Danio rerio: one gene and its partners. The protein of the gene in region 1 interacts with the protein of each later gene in a biochemical or structural test. Links are inferred from orthologs where the notes say so. Each region holds a gene or a part of one and is shown in the gene's direction. Other genes may lie near its edges. The genes, in order: ptprc, csk and lck.

Region 1 (10,789 bases):
ATTGAGTTAAAATTTTTACTTTTGTATTTTTGTTTTTTTGATCACACACTCCGCGACCCACTAAAAATGTTCCCGCGACCCACAGTTGAGAAACATCGCTTTAAGGTAATCAAAAATCGCTGCTTACATGGTAGACTTTTAATCACAATTATCTTAATCCTAAAAGCAGAGTATTGGAGTCCATGTAAATTTACTGTAGTGAAAGTGGCCAATGAAGTCACAAGCTGTCAAAGACAGCCACAGCCCTATTCTCTGCCTTTAAGCTAAGTTACTTCCATGAGCCCTCACATCGCGTTGCTTTACGTTGCTGTGTCAGAATCTTTGCTTGTAAAATACAGCCATACTGTAGAACACTTAGTTTAAGCAAATTTGATTAACTCGATCATGCGTGTTGATGAATCTGAAGGGATCCTCACCGGGTCTGCTGTATTGTGTGTGTGTGTGTGTGTGTGTGTGTGTGTGTGTGTGTGTTTGTAGTCCACTTAGAATCCAACATGAAAATCATTTTTGTTTGTTATTGGCAATGATTGTTTTGAAATTCAAATGGCACTTAAATGCCTGTGTTTTTATTTCTGTAATAAATATGGCATTTTGTGCTTAATCAGTAATTAATTAATCAATCTTTATATTAATCGTAATTAAAAAGAGTGATTAATTAAGTTTTTTAAAATCATTTAACAGCCCTAATATATGTCTGTATGTATATAAAAACTTAACATTACACTCAATTCTATTTGCTCTGGAGTAAATAACTGATGATCGTTACCAAATGTTATCTTTAAATGTAGTCAAATTATATTTCACTTTAAACCACTATAAAGACATCCATCAAATTAGTTCTGTATGCAAGCAATAAGATTTCATGAGTGTGTGTTTCCTTGATTTAACATGTAACACTGTATTGATTGTTTCAGGCCCAGTACATACTGATCCACACAGCTCTAATAGAGCACAATCAGTTTGGAGAGACAGAGATCCTCCTGTCTGAGTTCCACTCAGTGCTCAACACCATCAGAGAGAAACAAGGCAATGAGAGCATAATGGAAATAGAGTTCCAGGTTTGTTCCATTTTATTATCTGGCTGATTGTGTGCTTTTGACTGTTAATGCACATAGTCTTCTCTCTGATTTGCTTTACAAAGAAACTGCCGAAATTTAAAAACTGGAGAACAATCAACACAGGAAGCAGCGAAGAAAACAAGGACAAAAATCGGGACTCAAAAGTCATCCCATGTGAGTTATCAAAAGTGACTTATAGTAATATGCATATTCATACATTCATTTTCTTTTTGGCTTAGTCCCTTTATTAATCAGGGGTTGCCAAAGCGGAATGAACCACCAACTTATCCAGCATGTGTTTTACACAGCAGATGCCCTTACAGCCACAACCCAACACTGGGAAACACACAAATACATACACTACGGCCACTTTAGCTTACCCAATTCACCTGTGCCGCATGTCTTTGGACTTGTGGAGGAAACCCACTTGAACACGGGGAGAACATGAACCATTGACCTTTTTCCTGTGAGGCGACAGTGCTACCCACTGCGCCACTGTGTTGCCCTAGTATACATATTTATATAACTCAAAAAATTCAAAGAGACAACTCAAAACTCTCTAGATTTATGCTTTGTAGTTGTGTTTGTGTAAAGTATAACATTTTCTACTGGTTTGTGTTCAATTTAAGACTTTTAAAAGACATTTTTAGATCATTATAAATGAAATTTTAGACTCAAAGCGATAAACGCTAAGGAATTTTTCAAATGGTCCAGATGGAAAAGATTTTTATTTGCCCTATCAAATATAAGTACATTTGATACATTAATTAATACAATAATAATTAAATATATTTTTAAATATTTTTAGTATTTCTTTGCAAAATATTTCATATATTGTGTAAAAACAAGCAAGCTTTACTTGTATCCATACACTTTTTCCAACATAAACTTTCTTTAAAATAAAAAAAATAAACAAAATGTTTTAAAAGTTATAAAACTATAATAAAATAAATCTACGCACAACAATCTGTCCAGGTCAACGTCCTCAGCAGTAAATACTATGATGGGCTGAAGAATCACACGACAAAAAGAACTAGTTTAGATCCCAGAGGGTGGATTTATTTACAAAGGTGCATGAGTGCAAAATCCAAAGTGGTGCTCCAGCGGGTGATGTTCTTGCATCCGTGGGGTGCTCAGTGTCTGTGAGATGGGTCTAGGAACCCGATCCGTCACCAACTGCTGTCTGCAGGAAAGAAAGGGAGAATAAGAGTTACTGCTCTGTTTCCTTCGTATGCTTCTCCCTTTCTAGTTCTTTCGGTGTGGCTTATGTAGCCGGTCTTGGATGAGTTGCAGCTGGTGCTGATTAGTTGGGAACGAGAGGGCCCAGGTGTTCCTCGTTCCTCTCCAGGACGATGCTGATAGCTTCATGGGATGCTCGTCACAATACATTAAACAAATGTTACTGTAAAGAAAATAATGAAACCATTATGGTAAATAGAGTTAAAAATTACCTTGTTAAAAAGTTTTATTTAGATCAATTGTTGCATGGGTGTTGGCCAGACTGGGTAGCAATACATGAACAAAGAAAAATTAAGACCTGATGTTAATACTAATAATAATTACCTTTATTGAATTAAAGAAATATTAACATTTCATTAAAAATCACACCTACAGTATTAGTTCCAGTAAACACAGAAAAAAAAAAGATTTTTAATTTGTTTTGAATTAGTATCAGATAAATATTATTATTATTATTATTATTATTATTATTATTATTATTATTATTATTTTGCAGATGATTATAATCGAGTGTTGTTTCGACTGGACATTGCGGGAAACCAGACCAGCGACCCTGAGGATGACACGTATTCATCAGACGAAGAAGAAGAAGAATCTAATGAATACATCAATGCTTCATTCTTAGATGTACGACTTTTGATTTTCTAGGCTTTAATTAATTTATAGATTTTATATTATTCAATTGTTGGACTAGAGGAGAAAATGTAAAATAATGAATAAATTACCCAAACGTTAACCCATACACACCTTTTGATTTCCAACAGGGCTACTGGTGTCAGAAGAGTCTGATCGCAGCACAAGGGCCTTTACCAAACACAACAGCAGAGTTTCTGCTCATGCTGTACCAGCAGCAAACTAAAACAGTTGTTATGCTCACAGACTGTCAAGAGGACGGCAAGGTATGAACTCCCACAGTACCAGACAACAGATAGAAACAAATATTGCTAAAGTCAACAGATTTCGCTATCACCAAATTATGGAACAAATATTGCTAAAGTCAACAGATTTTTCTTATAGGTGACTGAATAATGCAACAAATATTGCTAAAGTCAACAGATTTTTCTAATAGATGACTAAATAATGCAACAAATATTGCTAAAGTCAACAGATTTTTCTAATAGATGACTTAATAATGCAACAAATATTGCTAAAGTCAACAGATTTTTCTAATAGATGACTAAATAATGCAACAAATATTGCTAAAGTCAACAGATTTTACTAATAGCATTCCAAATAATGCAAGAAATATTGCTAAAGTCAACAGATTTCGCTAACAGATCACCAAATAATGCTACAGATATGGCCAAAGTAAACAGATTTTACTAACAGATCATCCGATATTTCTGTAAAAAAAACATAATGATGTAAAATTATTCTAAAAGTCATTTTTTGACTTAAGTGAAAATTGGCATGTTTACATTTTTCTCTCATAAAAATAGTGGGTTACGCACTAAATAAACATCAATGACATTAAATGTTTTGGATTTCGGCACTATTCTTGTTTTTTTGTAGACATTTTCTGAAATTTGATTGATTAGACATTCCGGTAGAGTGACCCATCTGTATTTTTTTTAGGATTTGTGCTGTCAGTATTGGGGAGATGAAAAGAAAGTGTTTGGAGATATGGAAATCGAGGTGAAAAAGACAGAAAGCTTCCCAACATATGTAAAACGTCACCTGGAAATACAGTCCACAAAGGTAAGTGGAATATCTGTCATGCTATTAACTGAAGACATGTTATCTTCGTTGAATTAAGTCATTAATGTGTCTGAAATCACACACTACTCATGTTGGTTCTGACCGTATTTGCCGACCTTTAAAAAAGTATGTTCTATATAGTACAAATGTGAGTAGCATAAATTAAATTTAAACATACTACATCGACCATTTATTATCACATCACCTACCTTATTTACCTACCTGTGAGTCATCCAAGTACTTCTCACCTGTTTACCAAATACAATTAATTTAGACAAACTACTCAGCACACATATTGTTTTCACATACAAAATTATTGTAGTATATCATTTTGGATGCACTGATTGATTCGTTTTTAATCCTATAATAGAAGAACGAAATCTTGGAGTTGGATCAGTACCAGTTCCTAAAATGGAAAAGCAATGAACTTCCAGAAAATGCTCAGGAGTTGATAGAGATGATAAAGAACATCAGAGAGAATGGCAAATATGACAACAGCAAAAAAAACAGGAGCATCCCTATAGTAGTGCACTGCAGGTAAGGCTAATACCGGAGACCTACTTTTTCTGGATGGATCTATGGATAGATTAAATAAATCTATCTATCTTAATCTCGTTTTTCCAGCAATGGGTCATCGCGTACTGGACTCTTCTGTGCTTTGTGGAATCTTATGGATTGCTCATTAACAGAAAAGTTGGTTGACGTCTTCCAAGTGGTCAAAAACTTGCGCAAGGAGAGACAGGGAATGGTGGAAACATTTGTAAGTTTTAATTCTTCTTTTGTAAATAGGATTTAATGAATTTTCTATTACTATATATCAAAAATATTCATCAATAAATGTTCATTCAAATGCCCATTGTAATTTTGTGGCTTTCAGAGAAGTATTGTTTTCTTGGGCCATATTCACATTATGCAAGGTTATTTTGTAATATAGGCTAATATAGACAATTTCAATGAGGTGATGCAACTAGCCTATGAACATTTCCTGCTTGTCCTGCTTGTAAAATTATTTCATAAATGTAGTAAGAGACAATTTAATAATAATAATTTAATGTTAAAACAGCTATTATAACACCATTTAGCAATATGCAAACCTTTTTTAAAATTCTGAAGCTATGGAAATTAAAAAAGTAAAACAGGAAATACAATAGGACCATTGGTATTGTTAGCATGCCCTAAACGGCATATAAAAGATGAAAAATATAAAGGTATAAAGAAAAGGAACAGAACAGACAAAACAAACCCTGACTACCTTTTTTTCTATATATTTCTAACAAAAAATTAAGCGTCTTTTAAAATGTTTCACAAAAAAAATCAAACAGGGCCACACATTCATAGTTTAATTAAAATCTTGCTAACTCTTGTCAAAATGTTTCTAAAAAGTGCTTTTAAAGAGATTTCAAAACAATAGGTTTTGAAGTAGGCCTACCTCAGAGAAAAGTTAACAAACATGGCCACAGACAAACCATATTTTTTAGCTAATTCAAACGGTTTTTGCTAGCATATGCAAAAAAAATGCTAACCAAAACCGGTTAACGGTTAAAAAGAATTAATAGTTAGTTAATGTATATCAAACAAATTAATAAACTATATTAAGTTACACTTCTGAAGTAAAACTCTGAACTCATCACAGGAGCAGTATCAGTTCCTCTATACGACTCTGGAGGGCGCCTTCCCGGTGCAAAATGGCACCATAAAGACACCGGCTGCAACCGACAGCGCGGAGATCATCAACGAAACACCTGTGCAGATTAACGAAACCACCGCGCTCCTCGCCGAGCCCGCCGCTGAGGCCGCCACCGAGCACGCCAACAGCACTCCTGCTACCGAACAGAAGGAGACGGAAGACGGTAAAACCACGACGGAGAGTAGTGAGCTGGAGGCCAAGGAGAACAGCAGTGCCGCGGCTTCACCAGCAGAGGGAGACGGAGAGAAAAACACACCGGAGGCCACAACCAACGGGCCCGCCGCCACTGTTGAAGCTTAGCCATTTTTATTCAGCTACATTTTACTGATTCGACACCAAGTGTCTGCCAAAATTGTAAAAAATAATATTTCTGGTATTTTTTTGGTTATATTTTAGTTTTACAGTACATTTGTTGTCGTTTGACCAGCATGTTACTGATCCTTTTAAACTTTTCCTCTCAGGTTTGAATTTTTCTGTGTAATTATGATATTTGTGACAAATCTGTTTATATTGATTGTTTATTCACACGTGTTAAGGTGTTGCTTTATGATCTGAGTTTATTAGGCTATCAAATTGCATTTGAATGTATTGTAAAATAGGACCTTACCATTTGTTTTGTTTTTAGAAAACTATCAAAGCACAATCTTGCGTCTAAATTATGTTGTATTGGAAGTTTGATGTGAATAAATATTTTTTATTTTTTTATGTTCAAGAATAACAAAATATGGCAAGGATGACTTGTACTACAGCTGTCATCAAACTATCTTTCTTTTTACTGTGTGTTTCTGAATCTTTCATAGGCTACCTATTTTCATTTTAAGCAGATGTAAGTTAACAAAATAATAAAGGCTTGAACAATATGACTGGTAATTGTTTTTATTCACCAATAGAATGCCTCTTCATTGCAATGTTTTCTATTTTAAATGAGTAGAAATGTTATCAGGATCCAAGCTGGTGAAAAGGGTTCTTTTTCTCAAAAAGTGGACTGTTTTGCAATTATACACCTCATTTTCAATTGAATTGTGAAATTTAAATACTGCATTTTAGTGACATTTAAGCACTTTTCTGAATTAGCTTGTCAGATAGTCATCATAACCACACTTTTGACGATTTTAGCCAAAAACCTATTTAAATGTGTACTTTTTTGGTGCTTCGCACCTTTTTATTGGTAATTTTTTGTTTTAAGAATGTCCAATATTTAAAATGTTTTCTCAAGAATACAGTGATCCGTGTCTTCTCTTATGCCAGATGTGCCACACGGGGCTACTAAAATGAAATACAATGAAACAAATTACTCACACCAAACGGGTGCATAAGGCTTAAACAAAAAGCATGCCTATTTCACAGGTGAACATAAACACGAGCAGTGTCACTTGTGCATTCGGGTCAAGGTATTTCCTTATGGTTAATTTGACCCGCTTTTGTGCTCGTCAGGTGCATAAACCTGACCTAGAAAACGCAAAACGTTTGAAATTAGCGCTACTGTGACTTAAAACAAGCCTTTGTATTGTAAAGATGAACCACAAGATGGCGCCTGTTAACAAAAGAAGCGCGTGCACGGACATTTCATCCATCTTCAAGCCAGCATGATTTTTTCCGGTAGGCCTACTAATAAAGATGTTAAATAAAAGCAACATCAGTTAGTGTGCCACTGTGGAAATATGTAGGTCTATAATGTATGCTTAATTTCTAACTTGCTATGAATAAAGCAAATTATTTAATATGCCTATTTTTATAACCTATAGGCCAATATGTTACATTATACAGTAGCAGAGGTGTATTTGGAAGAGTTTTATTTATTAGTCTGTTTGTATGCTAAACATTTTAATATAACTGTGAACAAGCCTATAATAATTAAACATAATTGTAAGGATATTAAATTCGGGGGGAATCATGCTAAAATTCAGGGGGAAACAATTTTGTTTTCCTTATTGTGAAATGGTGACACTGGAACAGATGAATATTTTACTTATATATCAGTAGCTCCAAATCCAAAAGTCAATTTTTAGTCAATATAATCTCACTAGAATAATTGCATTAACTATATTTATTAAAACACACACACACACACACACACATTATTATTTTTATTTTTTTATTGCCAGCAGTCAACAGCAGTCACTTAATTCTGCAAACTATTAATATAATTTCATCTACATTAAAAATGCACATTTTGTCATTGGAACATTATAAGTTGTTTCAACACCTTTCAACTTTTGAAATCAATTAGTGGAATAAACGTGATTTTCAGTGACAACAAATCTAAACATTTGTTAAATTGCCAAATGTCCTTTCTAAAGAAAAAAAAAAACTTCTATATGTCAATAGGCCCATATTTATTAATATAAACAGTGCTCAGCAAATAAAAGTACCTCCATTTTTAAAAATGAATATATGTATCTATTTCTCAGGGCATATGGGTAATATTGGTGCATTTGAACAAAACAGATTTATCAAACAGATGTATTTATTAAAATAATATTTTAGTCACAAAACATATTTACAAATTTAAAGATAATACATTTATATTCAAGCAAAATATTACAAAAAAACATTACAGCCTACAAAATTTCCACAAAACCTTATATATATATATATATATATATATATATATATATATATATATATATATATATATATATATATATATATATATATATATATATATATATATATATATATATATATATTTGTTAATTTTTTATATTTTTGAAAAAAATATAGAATATTTTCCCCTAACATAAAAATTCGGAATACTAATTTTTGAACCATAATTGTAAGTTATTTTGTCATATTGGCTCCAGATTTGGCTTCAGTACATGCTAAACTAATGCGCATTAATATAATATCATAAATCATCTTATAGAAAATATAAATTTAAATCAGAGATTTAAGGAGGGTGTACTTATGTATGCTGAGCACTGTATGTATATAATATTAATATATATTATTTTCTATGTACAATATATATATATATATATATATATATATATATATATATATATATATATATATATATATATATATATATAAGTATATGAGGATTATCAAATGTCCTTGTTTGTGTGTGTTTGTTTATTTTTTTAATTTATTGTTATGCATGAAGAATAGAAAATACTTGAAAACAGTAACTTTAAATTAAATCTTAATACATCCTAAGCCATGTTGACATTTTAACCATAAGTATGTATGCATTTTTAGGGGTTAAAGTGTTAAATAGGGCAACACGGGGTGAAAGTGAACTGTTTTACTGTGAGCCACGTCTGAACGGGTCAAAGAGGGAAATTCCCTTTAAATAAATCATCAGTGTATCTGCGAGCTGCATTTGCATTCAGCTGTCAAGTGTAACTCCTCCCCGCCATGCAATTATCATACCATCTTTCATATGCAACATTTCAACTCACTGTAGTTTTTGTGTGTTCATGAAATGTATGAGAATCCTCCTTTCTCCTACTGTACGTTCAATAGGAGATTTAACTGAAACTGGCCTCATACACTCTGTAATTAGTGTGTTTTTCTGTGACGGGTTTCGTCTCTAATTGAGCACTTCAAGCTTACTCTAAATATAGCAAATGAATGCAGAGATGCTCAAATGTTCTCTGCGGTTCCTCGTTATGCATGTTAACATGCTATTGGCCGTGCTTCATATTTGCATCTGGCATGAAATATGGGCTGCAGGACTTTTATATTTATATTTAATGTATTTTAAAGATGCTTTTATGCTCAGACACTTACACTATCTTTAGTATTTATGAGCAGTTTGAGGGAAAGGGGGATTATGCAGTCCTGTACAGTAAGCTAAATATTGTTTTGGCATAATAACTTCAAAATAAGTTTGTATGTTTCATTTCTATATTTCTTAGTAAGCTTTTTTAGGAAGCCATTGTTTGTTTTGTTAGTCTGTAATTACAGTCAGAACGAAATCAAAATATGTATATAGTAGTGCGCTTGTTATAAACTATTTATTTGCGTTCTTCATTATTTTGTACAAATTAATTTGCCTTCATAATATTTTATCAAGTGCCATAACCTTCCGTCCCCTTCAAAATGGCTTTTCTTCATTTCTGGTCTTATGGAGTGCTTCTTGGGAGGGGCTCTCGGTGCTTGTCTTGTTTCTGACCTACTTTTGTCCGTTCATCAATCTTCTTTCATTTTGTTAACACTCATTTTCCAACAATCCAATCGGTGCCTCAATGCAGAAATCATGCATTGCCCTACATTTTTTATCTAATTTAGGAACTGTTTAATGTGAATGTAAATTGTGATAGAAGAAAATTTGGACGATCTTAACTTTGGTTTCATGGTGACTAAAGGAATTACAGTCTTTTCCACAGTAGCCTAAATCATTTTTAAAACACAAAGTTTAGATTTGTTTAGAAAGAGTATCAATGTCTCAGTGAAACGGAAGTTGTTTCTTTTGATTCTTTTGTTTCAGTATTTTGATGTAATAAAACAGATTATCGAGTAAGGGGTGAGGCTTTCTTTTTCCATGTCATTCCATTGTAAGATTAAAAAAAGTATTGTGGCTGAAGATGTCAAACTGATTTTAACAGAAAAGTACCGTCACTCCAAACACAGAAGCAAATGGGGACTAGGGGTGGCAAAGCTGGAGCACTTTAGGGCCAATCCCAAATAATTTGTTTTTAAAGCATGACGGTAAAATGCAAACGCAGTTATAAATGTATTAAAACATGTGCTTGTTTGTCGTAAAAATTTGTAATAATGACAAAAAATACAAATTAGTGCATCTCATGACTTCTGGGTGCAGCTATGCAGCCATTGTGGCTGGTGTATTCTGGAAAATTTTCTTTCTCCTTGGTTTTGAGTGTGGTCCTGAAAAATCTCTTTTTCGAAAGCTATCTAGCTCTTCCTCTTTGCCCTACGCCATCAAGATAAAGAGAATTGGGACACCCATACCCCTTCATGTGAACACGCAGAATGAGGGTAAGGGGAAGGGCTAAAGGGTATAATTGGGATTGGGCCTTACTCTGGTTGGATAATGGTAATGGTTGGGGAAATTCAAAATTGAACCAAAACAAACGATTGCAATTGGCTTAAAATTGGCAATGAAAATTCGGGAGTTGCAACGGTCAGGGTCAGACTTTGA
Region 2 (11,460 bases), on another chromosome or scaffold:
CCTATGAAATCCAGTTTTAGGGTTTCAGATCGAGTCAGCATACTAAACTTGGGTTGGTTGACATTGGACCAGTACTAAGCATTGTAAGCAGTTATTGGCCAATACCACCAACTTCCCTTTTCTAATTATCATTGCTATGCTTCACCTCATTTACGTTTGTTTTCATTTTTGGTGGTCAGAAAAAAAATTACCTTCGAAATCCAGTTTTAGGGTTTCAGATTGAGTCGCCATATTGAAAAATTAGTTTGGTTGAGATTTGGGCCAGTACTGAACATTTTAAGCAGTCATTGGCCAATACCACCAGTTTTCCTATTCTAATTATTATTGCTATGCTTTTTCTCGCTTACGTTTGTTTTCGTTTTGGGTGGTCAGAAAGAAATCATCTAAAAACCTAAAAATAGATTTCGTAGGTGAGTCAGCGTACTGAAAACTTAGTTTGGTTGACATTGGACTAGTACTGAGCATTTTAAGAAGTTATTGGCCAATACCACCAATTTTCCAATTCTAAATAATATCGCTATGCTTCACCTAATTCATGTTTGTTTTCAATTTTGGTGGTCAGAAAAACAATTACCTTTGAAATCCAGTTTACTTAGTTTGGTTGACATTGGACTAGTACTGAGCATTGTAAGCAGATATATTGGCCAATTCCACCAATTGTCCTATTCTAATTATTATTACTATGCCTCACATCATTTATGTTTGCTTCCATTTTCGGTGGTCTGAAAAAAAGTTACCTACAAAATCCAGTTTTAGGGTTTCAGATTGAGTCAGCGTACTGAAAACTTTGTTTATTGACCATGGACCAGTTCTGTTTATTTTAAGCAGTTACTGGCCAATGCCACCAGTTTATCCATTTAAACTATTATCGCTATGCTTCACCTCATTTATGTTTGTTTCCGTTTTTTGTGGTCAGAAAAAAATCACCTACGATATCTAGTTTTAGGGATTCAGATTGAGCTAACATACTAAAAACTTAGTTTGGTTGACATTTGGACCAGTACTGAGCATTGTAAGCAGTTATTGGCCAATACCACCAATTTTCCAATTCTAATTATTATTGCTACACTTCACCTCATTTATGTTTGTTTTCGGTGTTCAGAAAAGAAATAACTCACGGAATCCAGTTTTAGGGTTTCCGATTGAGCCAAGGTTGTTTGTTTGGTTATACCAAACAAGGATCTTTATTATTAGGAGAGATGCTTCATGTGTTGCAGTAAACCTGCTTATTGAAATTAATGCGTGATTTTATTACACGTCATAATATTGTGCGCACAAACCCATAATTCAGTGAGCCCAAGTACTTTTGGGTAACGTATGAAGAGTTCTTCAGGGAGCACTGATAAAGGCAACTTTATTCACTCCTTCAAACTTAATATGAGAGGCACTTACAAGACAAAAGTCATCTATAAAAGATGGATATGATAGAAATAAATCAATGTGATAGAAATAAACTTTGAAATGTTTTACAACTGAAACCAGGAAATAAGGTACTGCTTTCATCAGATTCATTTGCTTCTTTTTTTCTAAATATCATTTTGTTAAACCTTTATTGTGACCTCTCCCAAACTTCTCTTTTTTTCTGTTGTATGATCTTTGTCATGTTCTCTTGGTCATTGTATGTTTATTTCTTATACTTTAAAAAAACTTTGGGTTAAGCTATGTACAATCTAGGGGTGACGTCACTAAAGTTGACCTCCTCAGGTGTCTAAAATTTCTTGTCTTAAGTGTTTGGAGAAACTAGAAACCAACAGACCTTATACATCAGCTAGTCTTAGTGATGCGGGGGGAGCAAAAAGCTCAATGTGAATTGTTCTTTTTTTTCTGTTGATGTTTGTCTGTAAGTTCACTGGTACAGCCTTTGATGGCTGTTGGAGAGCCGTTTGGTTCACTGAAATACATTTTGAGCTTAAAAACCAAGACTAAATGGGAAAGGAAATTAATGAAAGATAATTAATGATGCTAATGAAATTCCATTGTTCCATGTTTTGAGAACACCGAATAGTGAAATCCATTTTATAGTGGACGAGTACATACGTGTCTAATTATTCAGCAAATCCAGCTCTATAAGAGTTTAAAAATGTTGCCAAAATCCACTTGTTACTTGAGATTAGAAATATTACTGCTGTATTACTGATTTGCAGAAAAAAACAAAACAATTTGGCTCTAATTAATAATAGTTGCAGAGCCCAGTCGTAATATTCAGTTGAATATTGTTTCATACCTAAGCACTGCATATACTTAGATGTTAAAATGCAGTTTGAGATCATTCCTCTATAGGAGTTTGCTTCTAAAATCTATGACCAAACTGTCTTGAGCAATTGAAGAAGTGTTGTTGATGTTCATTTGCGTGGCTCCTCAATATTTGTCACAATGACATCACTGAAGGTTCCAGGAGGTTTTGTTCAGTATCTTTGAAAAAAAAAAAAAAGAAGCATATTTTTGGTTCATTTCCATTCTCGTAGCTTTTTCTTCACAGAAGCATGAGATAAAGGTTGTTAGCGTTGCATAACTTTATCATTTATCTCTGCACCTGTTGTAAAAGGGAAGATGCAATTTTGTGAATTTGTTCAGGCAACAAACTTGTTACCATTAATTATAAATTAACAACATATCTGTTCAGAATAGTTCTGATATCACTGGAAACCTTACATGCTCAACTTTGTCAACCTTGAAATGCAAGGACTGAATAAATAAAGAGAATGGAAATATGGCTGTGAATGTTGTTCTTGTCTTTTTTTTTTTTCTTTTAATAAAAGGATCATAAATATTACAATACTGACAAACTCTTTTTGTCTGTCTTCACCTGAGTATTTTTTCTTAATATGTGTTGCGGTGTCTCATAAAATCAAGGGCTATGAGTACTTTCAGTTTAAAAAGAATAAAATAAAGGGCTGGCTCCTGACAATACATTAAGGTTTTATGAGGCAAAATTTGTAATTAAATAATTTAACCTCATTGTGATTTAAGAGCCATGGATATTATTTTTGTGTTGTTTATAGGGTTTTTAATTATCAAAATATGGGGCCAAATCAGTCTCAAAAATAATACATTTTTAGAAATAATACTCATACATGCAAAGGTCAATCACATTTACAAAATCCAATTTGTAAATTCAAAGCATAATTCATAAATACAACATACGATTTGTGAATTCACAAGTAAAAATCATAAATATTTTCACCTAATGAATTGGATTTGTGTGTATATTATGAATCGTGTTTTGAATTTATGAAATTGATTTTTGTATTTATGAATCATGTTTTAAAATTACAAATTGGATTAGTGTAATTACGAATTGTTTTGAATTTTAGAATTGGATTTGTGCATTTACGACTCCTGATTTGAATTTACAAATTGGATTTCTGTACTTATGAATCGTGTTTTGAATTTACTAATTGGATTTGGCACTTTTAAATTGTATTTTAAATTTATGAATTGCGTTTGTTTATTTATAAATAGTGTTTTGAACTTTCGAATTGGATTTGTGTTTTTATGAATCGTGTTTTGAATTTACTAATTGGATTTATACATTTTTAAATCATGCTTAAAATTTATGAATTGGATTTGTGTATTTATAAATTGTGTTTTGAACTTTTGAATTGGATTTGTGTATTTACAAATCATGTTTTGAACTTTTAAAATGGATTTGTGTATTCAGGAATCATTTTTTAAATCTTTCTTATTGAATTTGTGCATTTACGAATCGTGTTTTGAATTTACGAATTGGATTTGTGCATTTACGATTTTTTTTGAGCTTTTAAATTGTATTTGTGCATTTTCAAATCCTGTTATGAATTCCAAACTGGAATTTTGTATTTATGAATCGTGTTTTGAATTTACTAATTGGATTTTTGCAGCTTTAAATCCTGTTTCAAATTTATGAATTAGATTTTTGTATTTATGAATCGTGTTTTGAAATTACGAACAGGATTTGTGTAATTACAAATTGTGTTTTGAACTTTCGAATTGTGTTTTTAAAGTTACCAATTGGATTTTGTAAATGTTTCTTGTGTTGTGGATGTATGAATAATATATTGCAAATTTACTATTTTTGAGACTCATCTGGCTCCATATCAAAATGTCAGAAGCTTGTGACTTGCATTCTCAGCTAAAAATGTTCCTAATTTTTCTACTGGATAGAAAAAGAGTCACCTACCTCTTGCATTTACAAATTCACATTAAAATTCTGGTCTAAGAGTTTCTTTAAATCAGAGATGCCCAAACTAGGGCCCGCGGGCCAAAATTGGCCCATGATAATCTTTGATTCATAGAAGACATGGACAAATGATGGGGAAGGTTGGGGCAAGAGGTCGTCAGTTCTAATTTTACATAATCTTTTGTTTGTTGGTTTAATTGCAGAGCTACAAAAAAACAAAACTTTGAATGTGAATGAATCAGATTTTACCAGGGCAATGAAATCCTTATACACATTTTTTTTTTTAAATGTTGAACGATTTTTATGTTATAAATAAAATTGTTTATGGTTTTATTGTAAGAAGTACCTTACAAAATTTAAAATACATATACAAGTATTCATACGATTATAGTTTTTTTATATTATTAAATTAGGGAGTTACCATGACAACTTTAATGTAAAGCAGTTTGATATGTTTGGCTTCAGTCCACCACCCTCAATCATGTTTAGATTTTGGCCTTTCGTAAGAAAAAGTTTGGGCACCCTTGCTTTATATATTACATTTGAATGGCTTTATTGTTGCAATTCTCTTTAAAAACGCTTGCTGTCGCTCCTGCTGCAAACTTATGAATCCTACCACGGTAAGGGACTATCTTATGAATGTTAAGCAGTCAATGCTAACATTGCTCAGTGTCTATTTTGTAAACCTCGTTAATATTGACATATTCACAGTAACATTTGTCATTAATCCTGCTTTACTCTTGTTTTCGGAAAATTTTCTTTAGCCTCACATATTTAATATTGAGAAGCCATATGCCCTCGCAGTAGTAGAATTCGTAGCATTACGACGCATGCGCACAACAAACGGGGCTGTCTGAAGAAGTGCGTTTCCTTTTCAAGGGCCTGTGAATGTGTGTGTGTAAAAGACAGCTGGAGCCCTAGGGTGTGCTGCGCTTCCGTAAAGCTTAAAAACTGCTCGCTTTAGGCGGCGTAGCATTTATCGACTTCCCTGGTCAGTAATAAGCTGCAACAGTTGCGTTTTTTTGGGGGGCTGAACCGTTTGTTTTCTTTCCCGCGCTGTGTGTTTTGTATGTGAGGCGTATATATAACCGCCGCTGTCTTTAACGGTTTTTTGCGGGTATATTTGTATGCACGGACGAACCGAACATCTTTTGTCTGGGTTGATGTTAAAGGAAAGCTCGTTGGAAGATCTATTTGACGCCGAATGTGTGAATGATCACGTCTGTATCTCGTGTTGATGCATTCTGGTGGGTTTGACCCACACATGGACTAAGTGGACGATCTTAAAACATCTACAACTTCAAGGCATTTGGACACCATCATCTGCAGAACACCTATAGGTAATGTGTTTTTGTTTTCGCTAATGTAACTGCGTGATATTAACCATATTTTTAGTATCTACTTGGACGTCTCATAATGGACGCATTGTGTTTGCGAATCTGAATGCGATGGGTCTGTTTTACAGCTGTCTAAATAAGAGCCACTTGAAGCTGCTGCATGAGACAAAAACGTGTCCTTCATGTTTTGTTAATCATCTTAAATAAAGCATATGCTCAAGATGCAAAGGGTTTGTTCCCAGAATGCACTGGGTGCGAGAAGGCGAAATGGACTAATGCCATTTTGAGATGCATTGTCTTTTTTTGGACCATCCGTTCTGTTCCCCATCAGCATCATTTTGGATTATGTTGTCATGGTTTCTTGAATGTTTAATAACAACATCTGAATGTAGGTCTGGCCTGTACATAGTTGACCCATAATAATACCCTTTTTAAAAGGAAATAGTAAACTTATTTACTAATAAACACCACCAGAGTCATTTGTGACCCAACCTGTCATGGTATTTAAAAAGAAAAAAAAATCCCATGTTAAAAAGACGGTTATTCAAATCATAGCAGAAAGGTCTCTCTGTGTTTTTGCCTTTATTAATATTAATGAGTTGCATTTATAAAGGTTGAAATCCAAAGGTCACTTCCTCCTGCTAAAGTGCAGACTTTAAAGACACGCTTCCCCAAATAAGGAGAATTGTAACTATCATGCTGTTTCAAACCAGATTTCTATTGGCTGTTCTTGCTTCTAACATTTTCATAGTGAATAGAGAATGGCTTTATGATGACAAAAAGTAAAAGTGTCATAATAATGGTTCACATTGTACGTAGTCCTGTACGCAGTCAAATCTTTGGAATGGGCTTGACTGGAGAAAATGCACAAATGTGACTCCACTTGTGTACATAAACAATATTAAATGAGCAATTCCATGCAAATGTCAACCTTGCCATGAAAAAATGAAGTTTTCACTAGAAAAGCGAGCAGTTTTTACATTTTTTTTGTGTAAGGAAGTATTTTACAGTACTGTAAACATACTCAATAATGAGTTTGTTAACATGGACACCAATAATCAGATTTTTATACGATTAAGACAATACTCTGGTTAGGAGTGATTTTTGATTAATTTAATCCGATTAAGATTATAATTGAACTAAAGAGAAATCGAATTAAGACATGTGGAGTATGTCGATACTTCATTATTGAAGTGCAGAACAGACATGTAAACAGCTTAATTAAACTATTACCATCATGTAGGACTTTTTGCTGCGTTTTGCGACTGGATAGTCCACACACACACACACACGGCTGTTTGACACTATTCTTTGCACCTAGAGTCAGTTAAGGACCACAGACACATGCACTGTGAAATGCAAAGTTTTTTTTTTCCATTCAGCGAGCGGTATGAAATTCCATTAAAACAACACACATCCAACAATTCATAGTTGCATCCAATATCTTGTTTGTCACGGGTGCATGCATGAAATGTTCCTGAATGAAAGTGAAAGAACCAAACTGCAGTTAAAGTGGAAAAATGAAAACTAAAAAAACTCAAAATGACATGAAACTCTGGAGAAAATGTGGATAGCATGGTGACGCAATGATGGTAATCGAATAATGTGCTATAACATGTAAAACTTGATCATGAAAGGAACATTCAAAAAGCAACTCGTGTACACCATAATAATATTATTGTCTTAATTAGATTAAGGCAAATAATTTGATTACTGATGTAAATGTAGTCAGTGTCTCTGTCAAATTCAATTGTCAAATTGGTACAGGTGAATTGGGTACACTAAATTGTCCGTAGTGTATGAGTGTGAATGATGATGTGTAGATGTTTCCCAGGGATGGGTTGCGGCTGGAAGGGCATCCGCTACGTAAAACGTGCTGGATAAGTTGGCGGTTAATTTCGCTGTGGTGACCCCGGATTAATAAAGGGACTGAACCAAAAATAAAATGAATGAATGAATATAATATGTTTTTCATGTACTATATAGTCTGGAAGTATGTGATTTCAGACACAGCCATCGTATTCAAAGCGGAAAAAGGTTGTTTTTAGTTTTTTTACCCAGACATTTAAGAAGAATATGATGACCCACATACGAAGTATACTTGTTAATTTAAAAAACAGTGCTACAGTTAATTATCCTTGATGAGTGTGGTGTTTAGTCTGTGTAACCCCTCCCACTGAAAATTTACCCAATTATATTCCAGCATCCTGGGTTGCCATAGTGTAAAGCACATAGTATTTCTTTTCAGGCTTGAAGACTGCCTCAGTATTTGCAGGTACGGCTTGAAAAAAGCAGCCTAGGAAAACGTAATGTGCCTTTAACATAACTACATGAATTGAAAAAAATATTATTAATATGGAAGAATAAACATTAAGTAGCTGTCTAAAACTACTTTGTTGATACAGTTAGATTAGTTACATGTTATGAGCCACCACATTTCTTCAAAAATTTTGCTCTTTATTCGTTTTTAAAGTGAAGTGATATACTATTTTTGCATTCAGTTGGACACTGAGCTGCATTACATACTAGCTGACAGGTAGGTATATCAGATGAAAGTGCCAAGATATTGGATGTCTCCAGTGAAACCACTCCTGTTTTTACCTTGCGAATTCCATTTCCTGTCAACGGCTTTTAGGAGAATGTGTTTTTCTCATGCACATGAACAGTGTCAGACAGAAGCGCCAACTAGGGATGCTTGATTATGGGAAAAATCATAACCACTACAGTGTTTCCCCTAAGTTTTTGGGGGGTTGGGGCTGTGGTGTGACACGGCCCAATGCAGCATGGCTGTTCAGCCTCACACTGACACAAGGAGTCATGGTCTTTTAATGACAGCAGTAAATAACTGAGCAACTATTTGAACTGTACAACCGTTTGTAATTTATAAATTAACTTTTATTTTATATCTTTTTTTATTCACAAACTGTGCAGCTTTTGTCACTATAATGTATCTTTTTGGGCTTCTGGAAGAACACTTCCTGTGCCTCTTGGTATGGAAAGTCAGAAATGTCTGGCCCATTTATTGAGACATTTATTAAACATGTCTCGTATAAAAATTTAGATGTGAACATGTCATGACCAGATGCAGCTCTACAGAAAATATTTCATCCATTTATTTTACTGAGCTTAGTGTCTTATTTATCAGGGGTCACCAAAGTAGAATGAACCACCACAGAAAAATGACAAACTATGCAATTTGGAAATATTGCAAATGATGAAAGATGAAATTTAGTTAAAATGCACATCTATAAATCTAATACTTGTTTGTTAAAAGGAAATAGGTCCATAAACTACTACTTATAGCAATGAGTATTACAAGTAGTTATATTAGTAAATATTTATGTAAAAAAAGTTTTATCTAATAAAGTGAATTTTAATATTATCAACACAGAACTTTCAGTTGTTATATGTAAAAAGGCCTAAATATGTGTAGGACCAGTCAAATATTTTGCCTCTCTCCAACTATTGACAGCAGATCTCTCAATGAGATAGAGGGGATTTGCACTCGCTTTATCTTTACTGCTCTATTCATTTAACCTGTGAAATGTAATATTTAGACCATCACTGTGCCTCTCGCGATCTGTTCACTTGCTTATTCACTCTTGTCGCCATGATTGCTGAGTATTTTAGTTTATTTTGGGGGGGATCACAATATGAATTTGCGGAAGACACGCAGAGCTTTCGAGAGAAGTCATAACTAGACACTAGATCAGGGATGTCAAACTCTATTCCCGCAGCCCTGCACAGATTAGTTCCAACCCTGCTCCAACACACTTGCCTGTAGGTTTCAACAAGCCTGAAGGACTCAATTAGTTTGATCAGGTGCGTTTAATTAGGGTTGGAACTGAACTCTGCAGGGCTGCGGCCCTCCAGGAATTGAGTTTGACATCCATGCACTAGATGGAGGAGATACCTCCGCTCGCAACACAGCATATGACATGCGCGATTTCCGGGAGATTAGTATTCGTTTGCAAGCGTCTGGGGTCTCTATGCATTTGCGGGAGACTCCCGGAACTTTCGAGAAACTTGGGATGTCTGCATTTGTAAATATTTTAGCTGCAGTGATGCGAGCGCAGAACAGAAATTACATGCTGTTGTGTAAATAAGATATTACATACGGCTATTTAGCTTGTTTAATAAAAAAACGTTGTGATCTGCCGCTACATAGATAATCCAATTAATGTGACTTAATTAAGGGGGGCAGGTACAGCCCTTGGGAGGGTGGGGCGCCCCCTTTATATAATGATATGGGAAACACAGCACTATTATTTTGGTCATGATTGTAATCATGATTATTTAAAATGATTATCAGTGGGCCACATGACCACACATTGTGTGTGTATATGTAAAAACCAGGTTGCTGTTACACCTATACTTTTCAAAAATCATTAAATTACACAATTCAATTCATCTATTTTCTTTTTGGCTTAGTCCCTTTATTAATCCGGCGTCGCCACAGCAGAATGAACCACCAACTTATCCAGCAGGTTTTTACGCAGCGGATGCTCTTCCAGCCGCAACCCATCTCTGGAAAACACACACACTCATACGCTACGGACAATTTAGTGTACCCAATTCACCTGTACCGCATTTCTTTGGCTTTTGCTATCTTTTGTAAATATCCGGAAAATTTCCAGAACGACTTTACCGGTAAATTCAAGAAAGCGCTGTTCACATAGACGAGGACGTTATGGAATTTTCCCGGAAAAGACCGTTCACACATCCATTCCAAAATACTGATAAATTCTGACCAGAAATGACCAGAAATGACCTCTAAACGGCTGCGCTTGTATTTGTAAACATTTGACTACATTACGAACTCTGTGGATGGATCAGTATTATGAACAACTTTGATGAAAACATATTGAGAAACATTTTCAGCACACCAGCAAATTACCGGTAATGTTACAACTTCTCATTCGGGAAAATAACCGGAACGAATTTACCGGTATTTTCAAAAAGGGCCAGTTCACACATACAGACCTCTCCGGAAAATTGCCGGTAATTTTCCAAAAAGAACTGTATGTGTGAAAGGGTCTTACGTGTCATTTGCAGTGAAATGAATGCAGTTTGCTGGAGTAGCGGAGAGATCTGACGCAATAATATGGCTGCTGGATATGACGTAATAATAGTTTATTCTTGATTAATGTTTTTTCATAAATGTTAAAGACCAAAATTGAAATTGAATTTCGAAATTGAATTGAATTGCACAGGTCTGGCATCAACAGCTTTCAAACTTGGCATTTTTTAAATGAAAAGTCTCCGCAACCCACTAAAATGCTTCTGCAACTCACAAGTTAAGAAATACTGGTTGAAAGGGCTGTGCACATAAATATACACTATACTTTGGTCATTAATGGATAGTTATGCTCCTATTGCTTATTTTATTTGTCATATAAGCATTTATATTTATTTTATAAAGGATAATCCCCAAACTGCCGTATCCTTCAGTCCATAAAATAGTTTGATAAAATTTGCTTGATGTTGTTGAGCAAATGGACGTTAAAATACGAGGCCCTCTTTTGAAGAGCATCAAAACAGCTCTTCCTGTTCAGTTCCTTTAAAATCACACCTGCGAGAGCTTCTCGGTCGGGCTTCACTGCATCTCGTCTGTCAGAATAATTGTATTTCTGAACAACTCGGCTCTGTCATTTACAATGGGTTTTCCCCTGCTGCTGAACTGCTGTGCTTTTCACTTGCTCAAAAAAGCATTTGTGGTGTTCTGCTCGATTTGCGTGTGCAAGAACATTGTTTTTCTGGCACATTTCGCCAGCAGCAGTCAGTTTTACAGGCATAGGCTGTTTCCTTATTCGCGTATACTACTCAATTCGACGTTAACACTTCCTTAAAGATTCACAAAACAACACGTGACACTGCCGTATCGCTTATTACGCTTCTACTGTCGTGTTAAATTGCAGTGTTACTTTGCCCTTTTAAAATAAGGAAACGAGGGACCATCCTGCT
Region 3 (11,502 bases), on another chromosome or scaffold:
ACATCAATGCTATTTCCTGGAAATTATTTGGTTAAATTTTTTTAAAGCAGAATATGTATCTGGAGCATGATTTGCATAAGGGTTTTTCAAAATTCAAGGGCTTCAAATATACACTCACCGGCCACTTTATTAGGTACGCCTTACTTGTACCAGGTTGGACCCCTTTTTACCTTCAGAACTGCCTTAATCCTTTGTGGCAAAGACAGTTACTGAAAATATTCCTCAGAGATTTTGGTCCATATTGTCTTGATAGCATCATGCAGTTAATGCAGATTTGTCGGCTGTACATCCATAATGTGAATCTCCCGTTCAACCACATCCCAAAGGTGCTCTATTGGATTGAGTCCTGGTTGTGGAGGCCATTTGGGTACAGTGAACTCATTGTCATGTTAAAGAAACCAGTCTAAGATGATTTACGCTTTTTAGACATGACGTGTTATCCTGCTGGAAGTAGCCATCTGAAGATGGACACACTGGTCATAAAAGGATGGACAAGGTTAGTAATAATACTCAGGGAGTGTGGCGTTGACACAATGCTCAATAGACAATAATGGGGCCAAAGTGTGCCAAGAAAATGTCCCCTACACCATTACACCACCACCACCAGCCTGAACCGTTGATACAAGGCAGGATGGATTCATGCATTCATGTTGTTGACACCATGTTCTGACACTACCATCTGAATGTCCCAGTAGAAATCGAGACTCCCCAGACCAGGCAACATTTTTCTTTTCTTCTATTGTCTAATTTTGTTGAGCCTATGTGAACTGTAGCCTCAGTTTCCTGTTCTTAGCTGGCAGGAGTGGCACCTGGTGGTCTTCTGCTGCTGTAGCCCATATGCCTCAAGGTTCGATGTGTTGTGCATTCAGAGATGATTTTCTGCATACCTCGAGTGAAACGAGTGCTTATTTGAGTTACTGTTGCCTTTCTATCAGCTTGAACCAGTCATTCTCCTCTGACCTCTAGTATCAACAAGGCATTTGTGCCCACAGAACTGCAGCTCATTGGATATTTTCTCTTTTTCTGGTCATTCTCAGTAAACCCTAGAGATTACTGTGCATGAAAATTCCAGTTGATCAGCAGTTTTTGAAATACTCAGACCATCCCGTCTAGCACCAACAACCATGCCACATTCAAAGTCACCTTTCTTCCCCATTCTGATGCTGGGTTTGAACTGCAGTTATTAAGTTAAAGGCATAATATGTGCAATATGAGAGTATCCAAAAAAAAAACAATTGACCAGTGACTTATGTACTTAAATGATCCCAAATGTTTTAAAGAATTTTCCAATTTAAAGAAATTAGTTATTTTATTACTTACTGTGTCCTTAACATTCACTTTTTAAAAGATCAAGAAGTGTAAGCTTATTATCATTTAGCTTAATTATCATTAACCTTATTTATTATTATTATTATTATTATTATTATTATTATTATTATTATTATTATTATTATTATTATTTATGGGTTTTGTGACCCAGAATTAACTCTAGTTTTAAGAAGATTATAATATTGGCTGGATTTGTGTTTATTAGTCAGGTAAACATTAGCTTTTCTCAATGTTGAGAGGATTTTAAAAACACAATTCAACTAAAATTTAAAGTGTATAAGCACTAAAGTATTTTTTGTTGTTTTTTTACCCTAACAAAGCCTAAGCGAGGACATTTGTTCAACTTTGATATTTTGAAATTCCAACATTACATTAATTGTAGCGTGTTTACAGAGTTTTTTCAACTTCATTTTTTTTTCTTGATGCATCAAGTCTGTTTAATGTTAGTATAAGTTGAAGTTGACAATTTGGTCTCACTTTAAATAAAGTGGTCATATCTGCTACACTAAAAAAAAAAAAAAAAATTATATATATATATATATATATATATATATATATATATATATATATATATATATATATATATATATATATATATGAACAATAAGTCATGACGACATATATTTTAGTTCATTGTAAGTTATTAAACTAAGATAATCATATTCTAACTTAATTTCATAAGTTATGCAAGCAGTTTTAAGTCAGTTAAACTTAATTGAAGTTAAATGGACTCATAAGGGTAATTTAATACAGCATAAAAATTTAAGGTAACCAGGATTTTTTTTACAGTGTAGGTAAGAAATACATACAATGTACTTAATGTGCTCATATTGTATTGCGCAACAGTTCTAGTGCTATTGAAGTGGTATATGGGTGAGGTTAGGAACAGGTCAGGTGGTATGAGTAGGTGTAATTGTACAATTATAATCCAATAATTATAAGAGTGTAATTATAATTTTAATCACATAAATGAATTAAATCTGATTACATATAGATATTTTTTTAAATAAATGGATGATGTGAAAACTTGTGTACAAAAGTGCATTGCACATAAGTGTACTGCGTAAGATGATAGTATTACGGCCACTTAATATAAAGAGGATTTATTAGATTTAACTTCATTTAAAACAGTAACTACTCTTTTTACAAGGCTATGAATAGTATTATTCTTATTTGAAAATGTTATGGCGTGTTATCTATATAGTTCATAAATTAAAACAAATAATTAATTTACGCAAATGTTTGCAAATTAATGGTAAATCTATAGAAATGTTTAAATGTTTAAATATGTAAATTTAATCTAATTATTAATATACTGTACTTTACTTGTTTTACATGCATTCGAATTTAAAGTGTGTCACAGCCAGGCCAGGTTCTCCCCACTCACAATCACATGACTCACCCTATTCACTGTCATCGCAATCAGCAAGATCCCCGTCACTCGAATACTAATCAACAGCGCACATGCACGTCATATCCTGCTCATCCCTCCAGCCCATAAATACCTGCGTGCTTCCTCACTCAGTGTCTGGCCTCGTCGCATTCGAGAAGGACGAACTCTCACAGTCAGTCTATTCCTATTCGAGAAACTTATCTTGTCTGCTCCAGTGAATCTTTAGTTTCTGTTCTTTACTGGTTGTGTGTGTCCCATCATCATCAGTGTTCCTCGTCATCCATCAGTCTCCAGTTCATTCCATCGCTGGTTTACTGCTCATCCTCAGCAAGATAAAAGACTTATATTCCTGTTTGCCATATACCACTATTCTGTAATAAACTGTTACAGTTACTCACTCTGTTCTGGTCTCAGTCTCCCTTCTGTGACAGTACATCGAGTATGATAACATTTTAATATTCAATAACATATTTAAAAATACTATTTAAATACTATGTTAAATGTTGTTTGAAAGCAGCTTTGCAGCAACACTTGCAACATTTGTGGAGTTTGCATGTTCTCCGTCTGTTCACGTGGGTGCTCTGGTTTCCCCCACAGTCCAAAGACATGCGGTAAAGGCGAATTGGGCTTACTAAAAATTGACCAAGTGTGTGAAATCAAAAGACTATAGGTGTTTCAGAGTACTGGGTTGTGGCTGGAAGGGCATCCGCTGGGTAAAAACATTTGCCAAAATAGCTGGTGGTTTATTCTGCTGACGCGACCCCTGATAAATAAGGGACTAAGCTGAAGGAAAATGAATGAATGAATGTTGCAAAAGAGGAGAAATAAACCTCTACATCAGAACTATGATTATTTGTTCGGTATCACTTTATTTTGATGGTCCCTTTCACACTTGTTGTTGAATTTAAGTAACATTGCATCTACATCCCAACTAATAATCATAAGGCTATAAGTAGACTGTTAGGTTGGGGCTAGGGTTAGTATGGGTTCACATGTATTTGCAAAGTTTCTTAGTCTTATAGTTAAATGTCAGTTGAAGGGGCAGCATCAGCAGATATTAAGCAGACAGTCTACTAATACTCAGTTGAGAAATAATTGGCATGTAGTTGCAATTCAACCTTTGGTCAACAAAATATGCAAAAGGGACCATCAAAATACCTTACCATTTGTTCTTCCAATAAAATCCATAAAACATTTTTAACTTTTCAAATTTTCTCCCAGCACCCCCTTGTGGCCCCTGAGGCTCCCGAGACACCCATTTTTGTTACAAGAATTCACAATCTCATCATCATCATCTGAGCATTTGTTCTCATATGAGATGAAATACCTGTAAACATGAACATGTCTGTTAATGCCACGCTCCACATCCTCTCTCCCTCAACCCCCCCTCTTCTCAACCACAAGACCCCAAAGAAAAAAAAAAAAGCAAGCCATTGCTGCATGTCTATCACAAAACCAAAAACAACCACCAGAATTTGGTACACTAAAAAACACAGCTTAAAAATTGTTAACTCAGTTTAAAATTGTAAGTTAGGTGGACAAATTTTTGAGCTCAGAGTTGAATTTACACATGAAAATGAAATTTGAGTTTAACTGCATGTTTGGAACTGTTTGTTCAATGAAAATGTAAAAAAAAAATATTTGAGGAGATTTTTTCACTTGAGCGTTAACCACTGAAAAAAAAAGTTTAGTTAACTTAAAATGTTTAAAGCAACTGGCTGCAAGAAATTTTGAATTTATCCAGCTTCAGTGGTTGAAGTTGTGCCAAATTATTTAAAAAAGTATCCTTGACTTAAACCAGCCCTTTCAGACAACTTAAAAAAATTATTTAGTACAACTTCAACCACTGAAGCTTAATAAACTCACAATTTCTTTGCAGCCGGTTGCATTAATATTCTAAGTTAACTCAACTTTTTATTTTTTACAGTGTACTGTGGTCAAAATGATCTTATTGTGTGGTCCATCTTGCAAGGATTGAGCAACAGAAGAATAATAGAGATTATATATTCACCTTACAACATCTCTCCCTTTTTTCACCAAACCACAGCGAAACACTCTTTTTCTGCTGCAATCAGCAGACTCACCACATGAAGAGGTGAAGTCCGAAGAGTGTTGGCTGACACAAACCAAAAATAAACTCAAATGACGGGCCCAAGTGTCTAAATTAAGACGAGCGTTCCTGCAGTCGAAAAGTGAAGAATGTACCTCATTTCCTTTGAATGTTTGGGCTGCGACTTCCTGCAACTGCATGCAGTATCTGCAGCCTGATGCCACAACAAAAGTGTGCGGTTTGCTCAGAGAGAGCGACAAGTAGACAGATAATGAAGAGAGGCATGAGATGTCTTCATTATATCCAAGTAGCTGCTTAAAAAACGTCAGTCTGTCTTAGAAATGATGCAGCTAGAGAGCTCTGCACTGACACAACAGTGACTTTGTCTGAAAAAAGCAGAACAATCAAATCTAACATGTAATAGCAATGCATGATACACATGAAAGCCTTCCTGTAGCTCTATTGGTAGAGCATGGCGTTAACAATACCAATGTTGTGAGGGTGATTTCAAAGGAAATCAAGAATTGATAAAAAGTGCATTCACAATACAACACAAGGATAAAAGCATCTGTAAGTGTAAATGAATATGCAAATGGAGTGTTTTGTAGTTCTTTTCAGCACAAGCACAAGCCAAAAACCCATGAGTGCCGTTAAAAATTTCCATTCTTTGACATCATGGCGCCACAAAACCAGGTGACAAGTGGAGTCCTGACCCAGAATCCTTCACCCCAGTGACAGCAGCTGCTCAGAGCGACGAGCACCTGCTGCAAAAAATGTTAAATATCAGCTCAAACACCTCAACGACAGGAAGCTCTATCATCAGCTTGCTCTGCACCGCTGTGGTGCAAGCGTGCGCGTGAGTGTGTGTGAGAGAGAGAGAGATGCCTTTGTAAATCAAGTGCTTCTTTTAAGGTGGGAAGTAAAACTGTGATGTGACGTACACATTTTTACAATTTGGCAGCACATGTCTTTGAAACACGCCGAAGAAGATCTCGATGGTTTGTCTGTAATTTGAGGTGTAATGTGTTCTTGGTAGAAAGATAACGGTTATGGGACATGGCAACGCCTGCTGAAGTGGCCCAGCATTGATATCCGTGTCTTCTGTCGACAAAAATACGGTACGTTTTGTTAACTAGGAGATAACTTTTCTTGCCTTCGTTTTGATGAGTGGATGATATCAGAACACTTAAAATGGATTCTCAGATGGTATATTTTGTAAAAAAAATACTAGTTGTGTGTGTTGAAACTTTATAAATGAAAGCCTGAGATAGTTAAAGATTAAATAAATCAATAAAAAAAAAATGAAATCTAAAGATGTTGAACTGTCTTAAACAGACATGATAATAATTACTAAAAATCGCTATGTGTATATAAAGCGATTTATTTTTAAATATATAAACATGTGTGAACATTATGCACAATTTTCCATATTGGTCGAATATTACTATCGTATATGTGATGTAAAAGTCAACCTGAGTGTGTTCGGCTTGAAATCATTTCAATTTGAATTTCTTCAATGTTCAAAGTAAAATTTTTGGAGCACTATTATGCTACTGTCTTCTTAACGATCAAAATGTGTTACATTTGTTTTATTAATTTGTTTAATTGTTTTGATTTGTTCAATGTTGTTCCGTTCAACTGTAAGATCAGTCAAGTAAATTTCACAATATTAAAAGTATGCCTTCATTCAGTACTATAACTGCTTTCAGATTGATATTGCGATTAAACACTAAATCAATAAAACAGAAAACGTTTTCTTCTTCAGTCACAGAAAAGTGCTGATAGATTAACACTGGTGGGATTTTTTTGATAAAGGGAATTTCTGAAGAAAAAACCCTATAGATAAAATTTTAATAGTAGCTGCCACTTTCCAAATTGATTTAATTGACTCACTTTATTTATAATCGAAATCATTCCATCACAATATGTTAATGTATTAATGAGTTATTACTTTTTACTCATATATTCTTTAGGGTAAGTTTAAAAAACGTTTAAAAAAGAACACTGAAAATATGGTTCGGTATATGAATACCAAGCACTGGCTTGGCTCTGACTGTTTGGTGTGAATCAGTCAAGTTGATCCCTCGTGTCTCAACCTCTTGGCCTCTGTTTGCTCGCCAGCATGATGTTGAGACAGTGCACAGCAATACATGAAAATCCTGTGATTCTGTCAGTGGGATTTCAGAGGCATTCGATCTGTTTGCCTTCATTTCAAAACTACAGAATTACATCCCCTGTAACAGGAGAAAACCGAGGCCTGAAGGAGCACGGAACCATCTGCCATCAATAATACACCCTATATGATATTATTTTTTTATTGTAAACTCTAAAAAAAAATGCACTGGAAATTAATTACATGATCTTTGTGTATTGATCAATCCAGAAAAAGAGTGTCAAATAAACTCTAATAATATCAACGAAAGTTGATTTGTTAAACCGCAGAGTTCGCACTTTAAAAAAGAACTGGCTTCCTTATTTTAAAAAGTTCAATCAAATTAACTTCAACACACATTAAATTCACTTAAAACATTAATTTAAATCTTGCATAACTTAAAAAATTAAGCTGCAATATTATTAGGTTATTTTATAAGTTCAACTGACAAAACATTTGTTGCCGTGAATTACATTTCTTTACGGTGCGATTTTCAACATCAAAAGTTGATGGAGCAGAGATCAAGATGCCAACATGCAATTCAAAAGTACAAATAAACACCAGTTTAATCACAAGCTACAATTTCTGTTAAAATACACATTCACATGATTTTTTACGGTGTGGAAGACAAAACAAGCACTCGATTATTTACAGTAAGTGATGAAAAAGATCAGCCCATGTCATGCAAACATTAACTGTGCTGCATATTTCATCGGAACCAAAAGCATCTGACCTTGTCGTGCATCTCCAGAGATGAATTTGCACTGTTACCGATAGGGTCAGGAGGTCAGTGGAAAGTCTTGTCTCTGTTTGGAGATCCTGCTTTGATTCAGGCTGTTCTCCCAAACAGTCCCAGAGGCACACAGTGTTCTTGCTGACCCAGGGGTTCAGCTTTTCCTGACCCGACAACAGTTTCTCACGAGTCCAAACCCCACTGAGACATACACATTGACTTAGCACATTAGCTCCGATTATGTGTCTGCTTATGGCCAATTTAAACGCTTGGACTTGTGTGTTTTCATGTGTGTGCTGTACACATTAGCATTACACTGGATCTTGACACACACTAAAAAAATATGTGGATTGTTTTTTGAACGTTCCATGTTCGTAACACAAAATACAATATTAACAAGAATAAAACACACACACACACACACGTGTTTAGTGTAACCCTAATCTTTTCATTCATTCAAATAACACTCTGAAACTCAGCGTGTGAGTTGGAAACAATTTGTCTAGAACTCATGAAGAGGATTAACCTCCTTTAACAGATCTGGACCTGAACTGTTTTTCCTACCCGGCGGTTTTTCTTATTAAACGTTAAATATAAAATAAATATTTGTGGTTCTTTTTTTATTCTCAAAAAACAGAAAATATATGCTTCGTTAATTCCCTCTTTGTAACAGTATGATAAATCCTACACAAATAAATGAATGCAGCTACTGGAATGAAAACCAAAAGAGAATATTAGAATAAATAGTGGTCACAAAGACCTAGATTAGGGGTTTTCAGTTGTTTACACGCTACAACATTCCTAAATATGATCGTTTTTGTTTAGTGAGAGAGACACCATCGAATAATAAATAGGTCTAAAATAATAATTGGACATTTACAGCATGATAAATCTTACAGAAACAACTGAATGCAGATACTAGAATAATAGAGAGAATAATACAATAAATAGTGGTCACAAAGACCTATATTAGGGGTTTTCAATTGTTTACACGCTACAAAATATGATCATTTTTGTTCAGTGACAGAGACACCATCCTATTATAAAAAGGGTGTAAAATAATAATTGGAAGGTCACAGTATGATAAAAATACACAAATAATTGTATCTATGTAGCTATTAGAATTAAAATCAAAAGAGAATACTACAATAAATGGTGGTCACAAAGACCTAGAGTAGGGGTTTTTAGTTGTTTACGTGCTACAATATTCCAAAATATTAACGTTTTTTTTTTTTTTTTTTTGATTAGCGAGAGAGACACTATCCTATTATAAAAAGGGTGTAAAATAATAATTGGAAGGTCACAGTATGATAAAAATACACAAATAATTGTATCTATGTAGCTATTAGAATTAAAATCAAAAGAGAATACTACAATAAATGGTGGTCACAAAGACCTAGAGTAGGGGTTTTTAGTTGTTTACGTGCTACAATATTCCAAAATATTAACGTTTTTTTTTTTTTTTTGATTAGCGAGAGAGACACTATCCTATTATAAAAAAGGGTGTAAAATAATAATCGGAAAGTTACAGCATGATAAATCTGACAGAAATAATTGAATGCAGCTACTGGAATGAAAATCAAAACAGAATATTACAACAAACAATGGTCACACAGACCTATATTAGGGGTTTCCAATTGTTTACATACTACACGATTCCTAAATATGTTGTTTTTTTTGTGAGAGAGACACCATCCTATAATAAATAGGTCTAAAATAATAATTGGAAAGGTTTTATGCATTTGTATTGTGTTTTATCATTCATTTTAAGCCAATTATAAGATTATAAGTCTTAATCTTAAGGATTATCTTAATGTTTATCTATCATATTGCATAATTTATTTATATTTATATAATTTATTTATTATTAATCAGCTTTTCAGTTGAATATATATTTTTACATGACTCTTTTTGGAAAAGCCTTGTGAAAAGTACTCAATAATATCAAAACATATTTATTTCTCATTAATTTAGGATTGTTTGGAAAGTGCTAGATCAGTTCCTCTTGAATTTATACACCGATTAATGTCTAACGCAGTCAGCATTCTTATAGTTGCACCATTTTCTCTCATGCTTAGTAAACATGGGGAACTGCGGCTCTTTTGATCCTGATGATGAATTCTCCTACCATCCAGATGAATGGTGTGACCAGTGTAACTGCCCCAAGCCTCCAGTCAGTCAGGTGTGTGTTTGAGCATCTGTGTTTGTGTGTGTACTGTGTTTAAATAATGGCTTCCACTTCCGGTTTAGAAAACTTCCACTCAACATGACTGAAAAATCATTCTAATTATAAAGCTCAACTAAATAATAAGACACTGTTTGAAAGAGCTATATATTTTCTATCATGCTGTTTTTTTTAAGTGAGAAAATAAGTATGTTTTTTACAAACCGCGCTAAAACATATAATTGTCTCCTTATTTTTCTTAGCATTTTAAAACATCAATTTTGATCATATACAGTACATTTATAAACAACAACCATATGTGTATATAAACCTATACAGAATTCACTTTCAGTGCAACCATAATACTGCTAATCTGCTGATACTCTTACACTTTTAATACTCTTGCTAATACTCTTAGACGTTAAAGATTTCTTTAGATGGTGTAAGGGGAATAATGTCACCTTATTCTATCCTGGTTTAGCAAATTATTAGAGCAACTTTAGGGCAAACTTAAGGCAAATCTGTGGCAGTGTACTCAAATAATTTACTCGAAGCAACATGAAGCTTAATCATAATTTACAACTTATAATACATATTTAAAATACAATTAAGGGAGTATCCAACACAAGTGTGCTAAACACATGACTAGTGCAAAGAAGTCGCTCACTTCACAGCAGTCAGTTCGAAGCATCGTGATAAAACATACCACACTAAGTGTTTTCCTTATTTTCTATAATTCACATATACATTAAAAAAAAAAAAACTCTTACGCTAACTTAGGCTAATTAAGGTAGCTAATGGTTAGCCAACTGTGCTAGGGATGTGACGATATAGGATTGAAGGACAATGACCATTGCACTCCTCAAAATTCCTGTAGGATCAACATTGTAAGGGGAAAGTTGCTTTTAAATGTAATCTATTAAAATCTTCAGTGACTTTTTATTTTTTATTAATTAACGTGTTCTTAACGTCTTTTTAAGGAAAGTAATGTGTTATGTTTTTTTTGTGTTTTTTTCCGTCTTGGCTGGGCTTAAAATTGTAATAGGTTACTTTTAGAAGTAACTTTACCCAACATAGAGGACCATCCATGGACACACTGTATAATTCACACATTGAGCTGAAGATGATCATCTTCCAACTTTTTAAAATGTGTTAGTTTTCTGTTTGTGAGGCAGTTGAGAAATGGCAGGCTGTAATGTGTGACAGTGATAGAAAAGTGTTTAAAGGAGAAGCAAGCAAAAGGAAGTGGTGGAGTCATTCTCTAAACTAAATGCATTACAAATGTCTGTGGTTTATAACACAAGGCAAAACACAATGATCTCTCACAAAGTGCTACACAAAGCGTTTTTTGAAAAAATATCAGATGAAACCGAAATGGAATGTGCGCTCGAAAAAAGTTGGGTGGTTTTAAGGCTAGTTTGGGTTAAATATAAACAAAAATGTAAAATTTTGGTAATTATTATTATATTTTTATCTAACCTAAATCTATTTTTTTCACAGCCCAGCATTCTTAAGAGTGTGTGTGATTGCAGGAAATCCCTCTGTCTGAAATGCTTGATGTTTAACATTGTTTAGTTTAGTTGAAAACCATTTATGATACTGTTAAATGACCTTAAGTTTGAGAAAGGAGTGAAGAAGAAAACCTTTGAAAAGTTTAGGTTGTCTCAAGCCAAACTTAGAA

What was found.
Region 2: of the proteins of ptprc (region 1) and csk, one has a biochemical effect on the other in vitro, tested with the Homo sapiens proteins (2 studies listed by IntAct). The link is inferred for Danio rerio from reciprocal best matches to the Homo sapiens genes PTPRC and CSK.
Region 3: of the proteins of ptprc (region 1) and lck, one has a biochemical effect on the other in vitro, tested with the Homo sapiens proteins (5 studies listed by BioGRID and IntAct, with this or other methods). The link is inferred for Danio rerio from reciprocal best matches to the Homo sapiens genes PTPRC and LCK.

The regions. Positions count from the first base shown.
Region 1 is NC_133197.1:22,810,137-22,820,925, reverse strand, and holds the end of ptprc (receptor-type tyrosine-protein phosphatase C), read left to right. Parts: intron 1-914; coding exon 915-1,058; intron 1,059-1,141; coding exon 1,142-1,232; intron 1,233-2,793; coding exon 2,794-2,924; intron 2,925-3,061; coding exon 3,062-3,196; intron 3,197-3,872; coding exon 3,873-3,995; intron 3,996-4,365; coding exon 4,366-4,532; intron 4,533-4,619; coding exon 4,620-4,755; intron 4,756-5,628; coding exon 5,629-5,982; 3' UTR 5,983-6,542; downstream 6,543-10,789. UniProt on the Homo sapiens protein: Protein tyrosine-protein phosphatase required for T-cell activation through the antigen receptor. Acts as a positive regulator of T-cell coactivation upon binding to DPP4.
Region 2 is NC_133200.1:21,918,512-21,929,971, reverse strand, and holds the start of csk (tyrosine-protein kinase CSK), read left to right. Parts: upstream 1-5,150; 5' UTR 5,151-5,499; intron 5,500-11,460. UniProt on the Homo sapiens protein: Non-receptor tyrosine-protein kinase that plays an important role in the regulation of cell growth, differentiation, migration and immune response.
Region 3 is NC_133192.1:26,769,172-26,780,673, reverse strand, and holds the start of lck (tyrosine-protein kinase Lck), read left to right. Parts: upstream 1-5,654; 5' UTR 5,655-5,684; exon of another isoform or gene 5,685-5,808; 5' UTR 5,809-5,890; intron 5,891-9,735; 5' UTR 9,736-9,740; coding exon 9,741-9,839; intron 9,840-11,502. UniProt on the Homo sapiens protein: Non-receptor tyrosine-protein kinase that plays an essential role in the selection and maturation of developing T-cells in the thymus and in the function of mature T-cells. Plays a key role in T-cell antigen receptor (TCR)-linked signal transduction pathways.